Linked DNA regions of Rhinolophus ferrumequinum. The protein of the gene in region 3 purifies or fractionates together with the protein of the main gene of each other region. This does not show direct contact. Links are inferred from orthologs where the notes say so. Each region holds a gene or a part of one and is shown on either strand. Other genes may lie near its edges.

Region 1 (3,755 bases), on a different chromosome or scaffold from region 3:
ATATTGGTGGTCCTTGGGGCAGGGTGCAGAAGGTGGACAGGAAATATCTCCTGATGGAGGGTAACTGTTCTCCAAAAGTACTTGCTCAGATTGAGTCAAGAAGCCAAAAACCACCGGCCTGACTTGGTCTCAGCCTGCATTGGGAAGTGCTAATAGGTGAGGGTCCGGAGTGAGAAACTAGCCTCTATTGCCATCGCCTTATCTATCCTTTTTTACCTCCCTTTTGCTTACAGTCAGCAGAGGTAAGTAGATATTCAGATTTGGTCCACATCTCCTGAGCACCTACTGTGTGCCAGGTGCTGTACCAAGGCTTTGGGTTAGATTCTGCTCGCACCATCTTATAGAGAGAGGATGGAACCAAGAGTCTGAGAAATTCCTCAAGGTGTGGGAGACGTGACACAATTAGGCAAGGGCAGTTCAGGAACCCAGTCCTTCCAATCCAAAGTCGTGGAGAATAGGGCAGAAACTTCGGATCCGGCAGGGGCAGCTTCCGGGCTTTGAGCAAGTCACTGGGCCTCCTTGAGCGGACTTAATGTCTGTCTACAAAAAGGGTACAGTAAAACCTTGTAAGGTTTCTTTTAAGGATCACAGACCTTTACTGTCAAGACCCTGGCACCAAGCGAGGGCTCCATAAATGGCAGCCATCATTCTTGGCCAAGTGCGGGCGCATCCTCCCGGGCGCGCCTCCCGCGGGGTCCCTCGGGACAAGCCGGGCCCGCCCCCGCAGCTCTGGTCTCCTAGTGCTCGCGGCAGGTGGCCCAGCATCTCGGTGCCCACACCCCGGAGCGAGAATGGAGCGCGGGCGGGTTGGAGGACTAAGGTTTTCCCTGGAGGATCACCTCCCTGCCTCCCTCCCTCCGTCCGTCCACACGCCCGGCGCAGGTGAGATTTCCGGCCCAGGCTACAAGAACAGCGACCTTAGGAGAGGTCGAGGCGGACGACGCTGCCCGCGACCGGGAGAGGGGCCCTGGGGGTGCCCCCTCCCTCGCCAGGATTCGCCCCAGGGCAGGTCCCGGCGCCGGGGCCCCCGGGCTGCGCGCTCTGCGGCTGCGAAAACCTGGAGAGGCGGATCGGAGCGCGCTCGCAGCCAACTCCTCCGCGGTCCGGCCGCCGAGCTGGGCATGCTCAGTGCGGTCGCCGCGCCGCGTCCGCCAACTCGGAGGCTCGCGCTCCCGGGCGGTGGGGGCGAGAACGCCGGCGGCGGCGGCGGCGAGCCGGCGTCGCCCGCCGCCCCCAGACAGTGGCAAACTTCGCGGCGTCCGCAGAGCTCTCCCGGAGGAGACTGATGCCTTATTAATAAAATCAAATCCGATCCCCCCCACCCCAACCCGAATCATGGAGGCTGCGGCCGCCAGAGTGCCGCTGCCGCGGGCCCCTGCCCACTAGCCGGGGACCAACAGGTAAACTGTTGGGGGGTGGGGTGGGAGGAGGAGCTGCGGCTGGGGGGGAGGAGCCTGAGATGCCGGCGGGCGGGCTGCCGGGGTCGGCGCTCACAGCCTACCCTCCTCACCCTCTTTCCCCAGCCCCTGGAGGGGCAGCAAAGGGTTAAGTCGGCCCCGCGCCACCGTGAGCACGGCCCCCTCCAGCCGCCGAGACCGCCAGCTGCGCGCCTCGGCGCCTGCCCGGAGCCGCCGATGCGCCACCGGAGCCCAGCGGGCGTCTAGGAGGCACCCGCGGCTTCCCCACCGTCCGCATCTCTGCCTCCCCCATCCCCTCCAGGCCTCTCCGCCGGAGTCGAGTCCGCGCCCAGGTGGCTGGGTCTGCGGGGCGCGTGGCGGCGTGGAAGGATCCCTGACGAGGAAGAGGGGCGGAGGCGGGCCGCTCCGCAGTCTCTTCCTGGGGCCGGAGGGCCACCCTAGCCTGGGGCGAGCACTTGGGCCACCCGCCTGGGCGCCAAGAAAAGTTTTTTTCTCCCCCGGTGCCCCTCCCCCACCCCCGCCCTGTGCCGGGCTGGGTGGGTTTGGGTCCATTGGTGAAAAAAGTCACACGTTTCCATCAGCTGCTCCTCCCCCTGGGGACAGAGTAGGGGGGGCGGGAGGCCGGCGCTGCGGAGGACCCGAGCGGACCTTCAGCTTCTGTCGGCCGCCGCCACAGGAGCGGTGCGTCCCGGAGCCCCAGCGCAGCAGGGTGCCCGCCGAAGGCTGCCCCCATCAGTGCGTGTCTGCGTGTCTGGCAGCGGCAGCATCCAACCTGCTTTATTCTTGCCTGCAGCGCCACAGCGAGCGAGCGAGCGAGGAGGGGGAGAGACGGAGTCTGTCTGCAAAGTGCTGCTCCCTGGTGCTCAGAGGCGGCTGCTCCAGCTCCAACTCTCATTCATTTCGCCGGTTAACATGAGAGATCATGGCCGCCTTCGGGCTTCTCAGCTATGAGCAGAGACCACTGAAACGTCCCCGGCTTGGGCCGCCGGACGTCTACCCGCAGGACCCTAAGCAGAAGGAGGTAGGTAAGGGCGCTGCCGGCCTCCCCGGCAACCGGGACCGCGCTCCGCAGAGCTGACCCCGGGCCAAGTTGGCCCAGCGGGCAACGGCGGCGCTGCGGGGGAAGGGTCAGGGAGGGGACTGGCGGCAGGGGCCGGGTTGGGGACTGGGGGACCCTGGGCGGCGGAGACCCAGCGGCTGTCAGTCCCCGCGCTCCACTGAGACGCTTGCTCTTCGGGTGCAGGGTCGCTTCTCCGTTACCGGGCCTTGCACAGCATTGCCGGGCGCTCATCTGGTTCTTCTTTGCCGAAACCCTCCTGCTCGCTCTCCCCCGCTTCTGCCTGCTTTATTTTTCTCCCTGCCGCTTTGCTAAATCCTCGTAAACTTTTTGAAAAATGTTGGAATGCAGTGCATCCGACACGGGTCTCGTGTTTTTGCTCCAGCTAAGCAGGGACTGGGTGTTAGTGCGGGGGGTGGGGGGGGCGTGAGGGGGTGGGGACCTTTTCTGTTCAAAATTTGCAGTTTGGAGCGAAGTCGTTTTTATCGAAGTGATAAATATTTAGCTCTTTGGACGTACTTTCTGTATCCCCTCTCCCCTTTAAAAATCGATATTACGGGAAAAAAGTGATTTCGTTCCTGGAGGCGATTGGCTTAATTTGCCGGAGGCAGTTTTGTATACGTAAAAGCAATCCTGTTACCTTGGAAGGGAATAGGTACCGAGATTGCTTCTTTCTTTGAGTGCAACTGTTGGAGAAACCTTGACTCTTGGACTAGGTTCACTAGCTTCAATGGCTAGAGTAACCATGGCATTTTGTAGACATGTATGTGTTTGTCCGTAGTTAACAAGTAATTATATAACAAATCTCCAGTTATAGTGATCACCCTTGGCGACACAATTTGCCAAGGGATTTGCTTTTTTTTTTTTTTTTTTTAAAGCTCACCTGCTACCCTGCTGTGCTTTTCTGAGTTTGCCAGTTGCAGCCCACCCATCCTCTCTCTGTTTTCTTCAGCTAAACACGAGGGAGAACGTTTCAGAACTTCTCTTCCTGGGAATCTAAAAACCCTCTATTAAAAGTTTACCGGCCCACTGACATCACAGAAAGGGCTTTGTAAAGAAGGCAAGGAGAGGTCCTTAAGACTTCCCTTTTGATAAATGTATCTATTTCAGTAATAGAGAAAGAACGTTCTGGTTAAACTGTTTTGTTAACGTTTCTGCAAAAGGACTGACAGCTCCTTTTAGAGGGTTAGCACATTAAACATCTTTGAGCATCCTTTGAGTAGTTCATACTGAAGCTGGGAAGGTTTTTACAGGTGGTTCTCAGCTGAGGCTGAACATGA
Region 2 (3,755 bases), on a different chromosome or scaffold from region 3:
CCTGGGCCAGGGCACAAAGGCGTCCCACTCCCTTCACAACTGTTGGTGTGTGTGTGGAGGGGCAGGGGTTGAGGAGCATGTAAGGAGAAAACTATTTTTATTTGAAAGGTTCTCATTGCTACTGAATATAACAGGCACACAAAAGCTATTTTCTACTTCAGGGCAGCATGGTTTGAACGAGAGGAAGCTCAGAGTTGATTCCAACCCAACCCTCTGAGGTGGTATACAGGTGAAGAAACTACGGCCCTAGAGCAATGAAGTATCAGGACATATGACCCCAAGTCTCTGAAGTGAAAAGAGTTAAGTGACATAAGGGGGATAAATGCAGCAGCAGCTAAATAGTGGGTCAGTCTCAGCTTCTGAGGCTGCAGCATTAATACAGCCTTAGAAAATGGAAATTAAGAGGCTAAACAAGTTACTACTAATAATTACCTCCAAGTTTATTATAGCTGTCGATGTTTTTAAGGCTTCTGGAAAATCAAAGTTAGAGATGTCTCCCCTTCTGCACTAAAGAAATGTACCTGTGAAATATAATGGGATGGAACTCAGGACACCAGGAGTCTAGTCACCTGTTCCTTCGATAGATGATTAGATAAAGAAGATGTCGTGTATATACACAATGGAATACTACTCTGCTATAAAAAAGATGAAATACTGCTGTTTGTGACAACATGGATGGATCCTGAGATTACCGTATCATGCTAAGTGAAATAAGTCAGACAGAAAAAGTCTCTCATATGTGGGATATAAAACCGAAAGCAACAAAGGAACAAGAGAAACAAACAAACAAAAACTCATAGACACAGACAATAGTTTAGTGGTTACCCGAGGTTAAGTGGGAAGAGAGGTGATAGATGAGGGCAAAGGGGGTCAAATATATGGTGATGGAAGGAGAACTGACTCTGGGTGGTGAACACACAATGTGATATATAGATGATGTAATATAGAATTGACACTTGAAACCCATGTAATTTTACTAACCACTGTCACCCCAATAAATTAAAAAAAAAACGTACTCAGAAGCTTTCGGTGGTCTCCATTTTTAGTCCTTGAACTAATTACACGTTTGCTTACTTTCCATCCTACAGCAAAGGCTTTCTCTAAGGACTTACTGTTGTTCCTATATATATACATATATTCTAAAATACATAAACTTTACATGCTGTATCAGCTGAGAAGTTAAGAGATAAGAGATGTTCAGAACTCTGACACATTGTTAACTGATAGGATCTAATTATCCCCAATTCAATAAAATATTCATGAGTACCAGATGTTACCTGATTTTATCTAAACAAGTATTTTCCAGGTTAAAAAAAACACTAAGTAAAAAGTACCTACACAAAACCCACATACAAAAAAACTGGTTTAATTTATCATGAAATTAAGAAAACCATTTCCTTCTTAGTTATTATACCTTAAAAAAGAAACAAATGTGTATTTCCATTATGCTAAAAACTTCCATGAAGCTATCCTATGGAAATATTTGCACTTGAGTCTATGAAATAAAAAACTGGAAGCAACCTGTATGTATATCAATAGATAAATACTATTATTTATATTTAATAAGTAATAGTATCTGGAGCTTTAAAAGAACAGGACCTTTCTATACAATATACCATCAAAAATTTTTAAAGCTGTAAGATTTCTATAGCATAATCCCATTTTTGAAAAAAGTGTATATGTATATGCATATATTTATGAATAAGCATAAAAATTCGTTTGGAAGGATAAGCACTAACCCGTTTAGTTTCCTATGGGTGAAAGGGTGTTGCATTTCACATTGTATTGTGGATATAATTTTTAAAACAGGAGGATATTGTCAAGGTTCCCTCATTTACTTTGTAATCAGTATCTGTAGGATGCATTAGTTTAAAATCTGAAGTTTTCTCCTTCCTTTGGGTTTCTAAATTACAAATAAGGGACATCACAATGCAGACAAAGCTCCCTGACAGCAAAATGTGCTTTAGTTGCTGCGGTCTGACAAAGATTCTCCCCGTGACCGCTTTCTAGCCAGGCTCCTCTGAGCCCTCTTCCCGACCAGGCCTCAATTTTGGCCCATAAAGGCTTGATTAAAACATTAATATGATTTCTAACAGCTCAAGGCTGTATCCCTAGAATGACCTTAACTCCTTTAAAGCGCCGGCCTGTGAAAACTGAATGCAGCCAAAATAATTTAGTTTGTTCCAGCCAACAGAGGGCGGGCAGTGGGATGGTAGGAATCTAACTTCCAAAGCTCCAGCTGACAAACCCAAATGGGTTTCAAAAGGACCAACCCCCTTCCCACTTTCTGTAATTTTTCACTTCCCTGACTCTAAGCCCCGCTCACCGCCGCTCCCTATCCTTTCATTCTCCCTGTAAAACGCTGTCACCTCTACACAAATGAAGTTGAGTTCAGTCCAAGCTGGACTCTTCTCCCTGTCGCAGCTGCATATTACTGATTAAAATTCGTACCGACCGCTTTAACTAGTGTCAGCTTTGTCTTTGACGCATCTCTCGGGCACTTTGCAGTCTATCAGAGAAAACGAACTACTGAAACAAGGAGCCGCAGCCGCCCGGGGCACCCCCGAGTGGCGCCGAAGGCTCCAGGAGCCCTTCTCCCGGCACCGAGCCCAGCGGCCCGGGCCCTCCAGGTCCGCAGGCGCCTCCTCCCTGCTGGTCGCCGCGCCGCCACCCGCCGGGCTTCGGGGCAACGCCAAGTTCCGCGGCGGCCACGCAGAACGGCGGGACAATCGCACGGCCCCAGGCCTCACCTTTTGGAAAGATGAGCTGGGAGGCGTCCTCCTCGACGTCGCCAGCCAGCGCATCGCTGCCACCCGCCGCCATCGCCGAGCTACGCGCCGCCACCCACACCGCCGGAAGCGGAAGCGTGGGGACCCCGGTGCAGCCACGTCCGGGGCGTGGCGGGGGCGTGGCGGGCCGGGGCCAGGACGCTGCGAGGGGAGGGGTTGTGCCGCGAGTCTTGGAGCGGGTCCCGGGACCGTTTTGAGCCTCAGCTTCTCACCCGTGAAATGTGGGTAAGGACACCTGCTTCCCAGTGGGGAGGGGTGGGCTGGATGACATACAGGAATGTGCCGGCTGACCCCAGGAACTCTCCGTTGAAGGGATGCCGGGTCGGTGACCTCGAAAACGTACCGGGGAATTTCTTCCAATGCCTTACGCATTTTAAATTTTGACGTGTAGTGGATTATTCTGATACTTCTGAGCACGTGGACAGTGATTTTGAGAGGCCTTTAATGTCTGTTGAAGCACTTGGATTATACATAGAAAAGTAAGCAAATGGAAAATGATGTTTTCAAATTCAGAGAAAAGATTGTAAAATAAAGGACATAATTATAGTGCATTGCTTCGCTCAGTAGTGAGCAGTGTTTAGGTATCATGTAAGCTCTGTTCAAATGAAAAATAAACCACACAAGAATATGTACCTTGTATTCCTTTACTTTATAATTTTTACAAAATTAATTTGCTTTGTATGTGTATTTCTAGAAGAAATGTATTGGGTATGTCGAAAGAATGCCTAGCCTAAGAAAGTCTTATAAGAGTTTATTTGAGCCAAACGGATGACAATTGCAGGCAAACAAAATCTCAACAGATTGAGAAAATGCTCCAGAAAATGGCAGTTTTGCAGCTTATTTTATACATTAGAGTCAAAGGAGGAGACCTAAGAAGGTTTACATGACATCCATTGATGGCAAATAAGGGGTGGGAGAAAGCAAAACGGAGAAATCTCTGGCATTGGATAAAAAGCAAAACGGAGT
Region 3 (2,057 bases):
TTTCAGGTATGTGTAATTTCTGTATATAACAATACAGGTTCATATCAAATGTCTTTAAAAAACGTTACAATAGAATTTATGTTTTCCAAGCAAAGCTCTCTGAGAAATAATCCAGTCCTATAACAGTTATAAAGTGAAATCATAATAAACAGAAACAGAAGGAACATAGTTCTAGAAGAAATCTGATGAGATGTAGCATCAGTGAACCAAAAAACCGTCTGTACAAACACTGAACAACCTCACCCACGAGAGGAATCATTCTGATCCGTATGCGCTCCATTCAGCAACCAGAGCTCTATCCTCCCATGACCGTGGGGCTAGAAAATGCTGACATCAGCCTCAGATAGGAATCTTAGGACTAAATAGTGTTTACATTATGCTCCTTTCCAAAATACTGCATACAAGTAACTTTGTGGGTGTTAATATTTACTGGAACTTACCTAAACTCTAAGTGCCCTATGATGGTAACTTGTAAAAAAGGAGACATTCTAGAAAACTAGAGTTATTAAGCAGGTTTCAAAATGTTTCAAACGCTCAATTCTGCTTTATCTTAACTTTCAAATTGGTTTCACTAGGAAGGAAGAAGGGACTTACGCTTGGCCCGCCCCCGTGCATCTTCAGAGCTCGCACTGTTGCCACCAGCACGACGACGTTGGGCACTAAACCAGAAGCTCGGCACTTGATGTTGAAGAATTTCTCCATACCAATATCAGCACCAAAGCCAGCTTCAGTCACTGTGGAGAATCAAGTTGGAAACTTGCTATTATCTTCTAAAAACAATAATAAGGCGTGGCAATCATTGGTATGGTTCAAATTCAAAGGACAGTTTACATTTCCCACCAAGTCCAGGCTACTACACAGCACGGCACCTTGTTCATATACAAAGGTAAACTAACCCCCAGTTTTAGAAAATGTTCTATGTCTTGACATTCCCTAAAAAGATGACTCTCTCTCATTTGCTTGCAGGGACATGGCGGCTTACACAGCTGCAGGACGCGGTGAACTCGCCTGCAGACCAGTTTTGTAATGCAATTGGAGTGTTGCCCCAGTGTGGTCCTCCTGCCTCTTTTAGTAATATTCAGACAACAATTAACAAAGATCAGCCAGCTAATCCCACAGAAGACTATGCCCAGCTTTTTGCAGCACTGATTGCACGAACAGCAAAAGACATCGATGTTTTGATAGATTCCTTGCCCAGTGAAGAATCTACAGCTGCTTTACAGGCTGCTAGCTTGTATAAGCTAGAAGAAGAAAATCACGAAGTGGCTACATGTCTGGAGGATGTTGTTTATCGAGGGGACATGCTTCTGGAAAAGATACAAAGTGCACTTGCTGATATTGCGCAGTCACAGCTGAAGACAAGACGCGGTACCCATAGCCAGTCTCTGCCAGACTCATAGTACCAGCGTATACCGCATGGCTGAGAAAAGAGCTATTTCAATGGCATTAAGAATTATACATCAGATTTAGATGTAAGCCTTACCAACAGTTACAGAAACATTAACCACTATAACACATTATCTTTCCAGCTATTTTTAACAGTCTTCTAGTTTCACTCTTGATAAATAAGCTTGTAAGATTGTGATTGAACCAGCTTTAAACCATCATTATACTATCATTTTTTATTATCCAAATGAAATTATTGAGGCAGCTCTTACATTAATGGTCATAATTAAACAAATTACCGTAAAATTCTATTGTGGGAGAAAAAAAAAAAGATGGCCCTCTGCTTCATACCACCATGCCTTAAGGATCCTTTGCCAAGGCCTAGATTTTCCTTTCGGTAGAGTAACTCAGAGCAAAACTTTTCTGAACACAGCTGGGATTTTCAACTTTTTAATCAGGTTCCAAATTGTATCAAAGAACACTGCCAGCATAATTACGACGGAAGAGCCTTTCGCAATGTAGATCATACATAGAATTGTTTCTTTAGTGCCACTGGTCATTTCTGTTGATTGACAACATTCAAGTTAGTTGAGTGGCTTAAGGAGGTTCGTTATTATATAAGATAGCATCTTCATTCCATAACCACAGGGACACTGTAGGGGTTCATAACG

What was found.
Region 1: the proteins of mediator of RNA polymerase II transcription subunit 21-like (region 3) and MED12L purify together in Homo sapiens (affinity purification with mass spectrometry; 3 studies listed by BioGRID and IntAct, counting the BioPlex papers as one, with this or other methods). This does not show direct contact. The link is inferred for Rhinolophus ferrumequinum from reciprocal best matches to the Homo sapiens genes MED21 and MED12L.
Region 2: the proteins of mediator of RNA polymerase II transcription subunit 21-like (region 3) and POLR2D purify together in Homo sapiens (affinity purification with mass spectrometry; 4 studies listed by BioGRID and IntAct, with this or other methods). This does not show direct contact. The link is inferred for Rhinolophus ferrumequinum from reciprocal best matches to the Homo sapiens genes MED21 and POLR2D.

The regions. Positions count from the first base shown.
Region 1 is NC_046285.1:10,003,630-10,007,384, forward strand, and holds the start of MED12L (mediator of RNA polymerase II transcription subunit 12-like protein), read left to right. Parts: upstream 1-1,289; 5' UTR 1,290-1,750; intron 1,751-2,211; 5' UTR 2,212-2,340; coding exon 2,341-2,439; intron 2,440-3,755. UniProt on the Homo sapiens protein: May be a component of the Mediator complex, a coactivator involved in the regulated transcription of nearly all RNA polymerase II-dependent genes.
Region 2 is NW_022680440.1:944,321-948,075, forward strand, and holds the start of POLR2D (DNA-directed RNA polymerase II subunit RPB4), read right to left. Parts: upstream 2,889-3,755; 5' UTR 2,824-2,888; coding exon 2,751-2,823; intron 1-2,750. UniProt on the Homo sapiens protein: Core component of RNA polymerase II (Pol II), a DNA-dependent RNA polymerase which synthesizes mRNA precursors and many functional non-coding RNAs using the four ribonucleoside triphosphates as substrates.
Region 3 is NC_046286.1:94,043,233-94,045,289, reverse strand, and holds mediator of RNA polymerase II transcription subunit 21-like, read left to right. Parts: upstream 1-941; coding exon 942-1,400; 3' UTR 1,401-1,449; downstream 1,450-2,057. Other genes in the region: MTHFD1L (monofunctional C1-tetrahydrofolate synthase, mitochondrial), read right to left, coding at 595-734. UniProt on the Homo sapiens protein: Component of the Mediator complex, a coactivator involved in the regulated transcription of nearly all RNA polymerase II-dependent genes.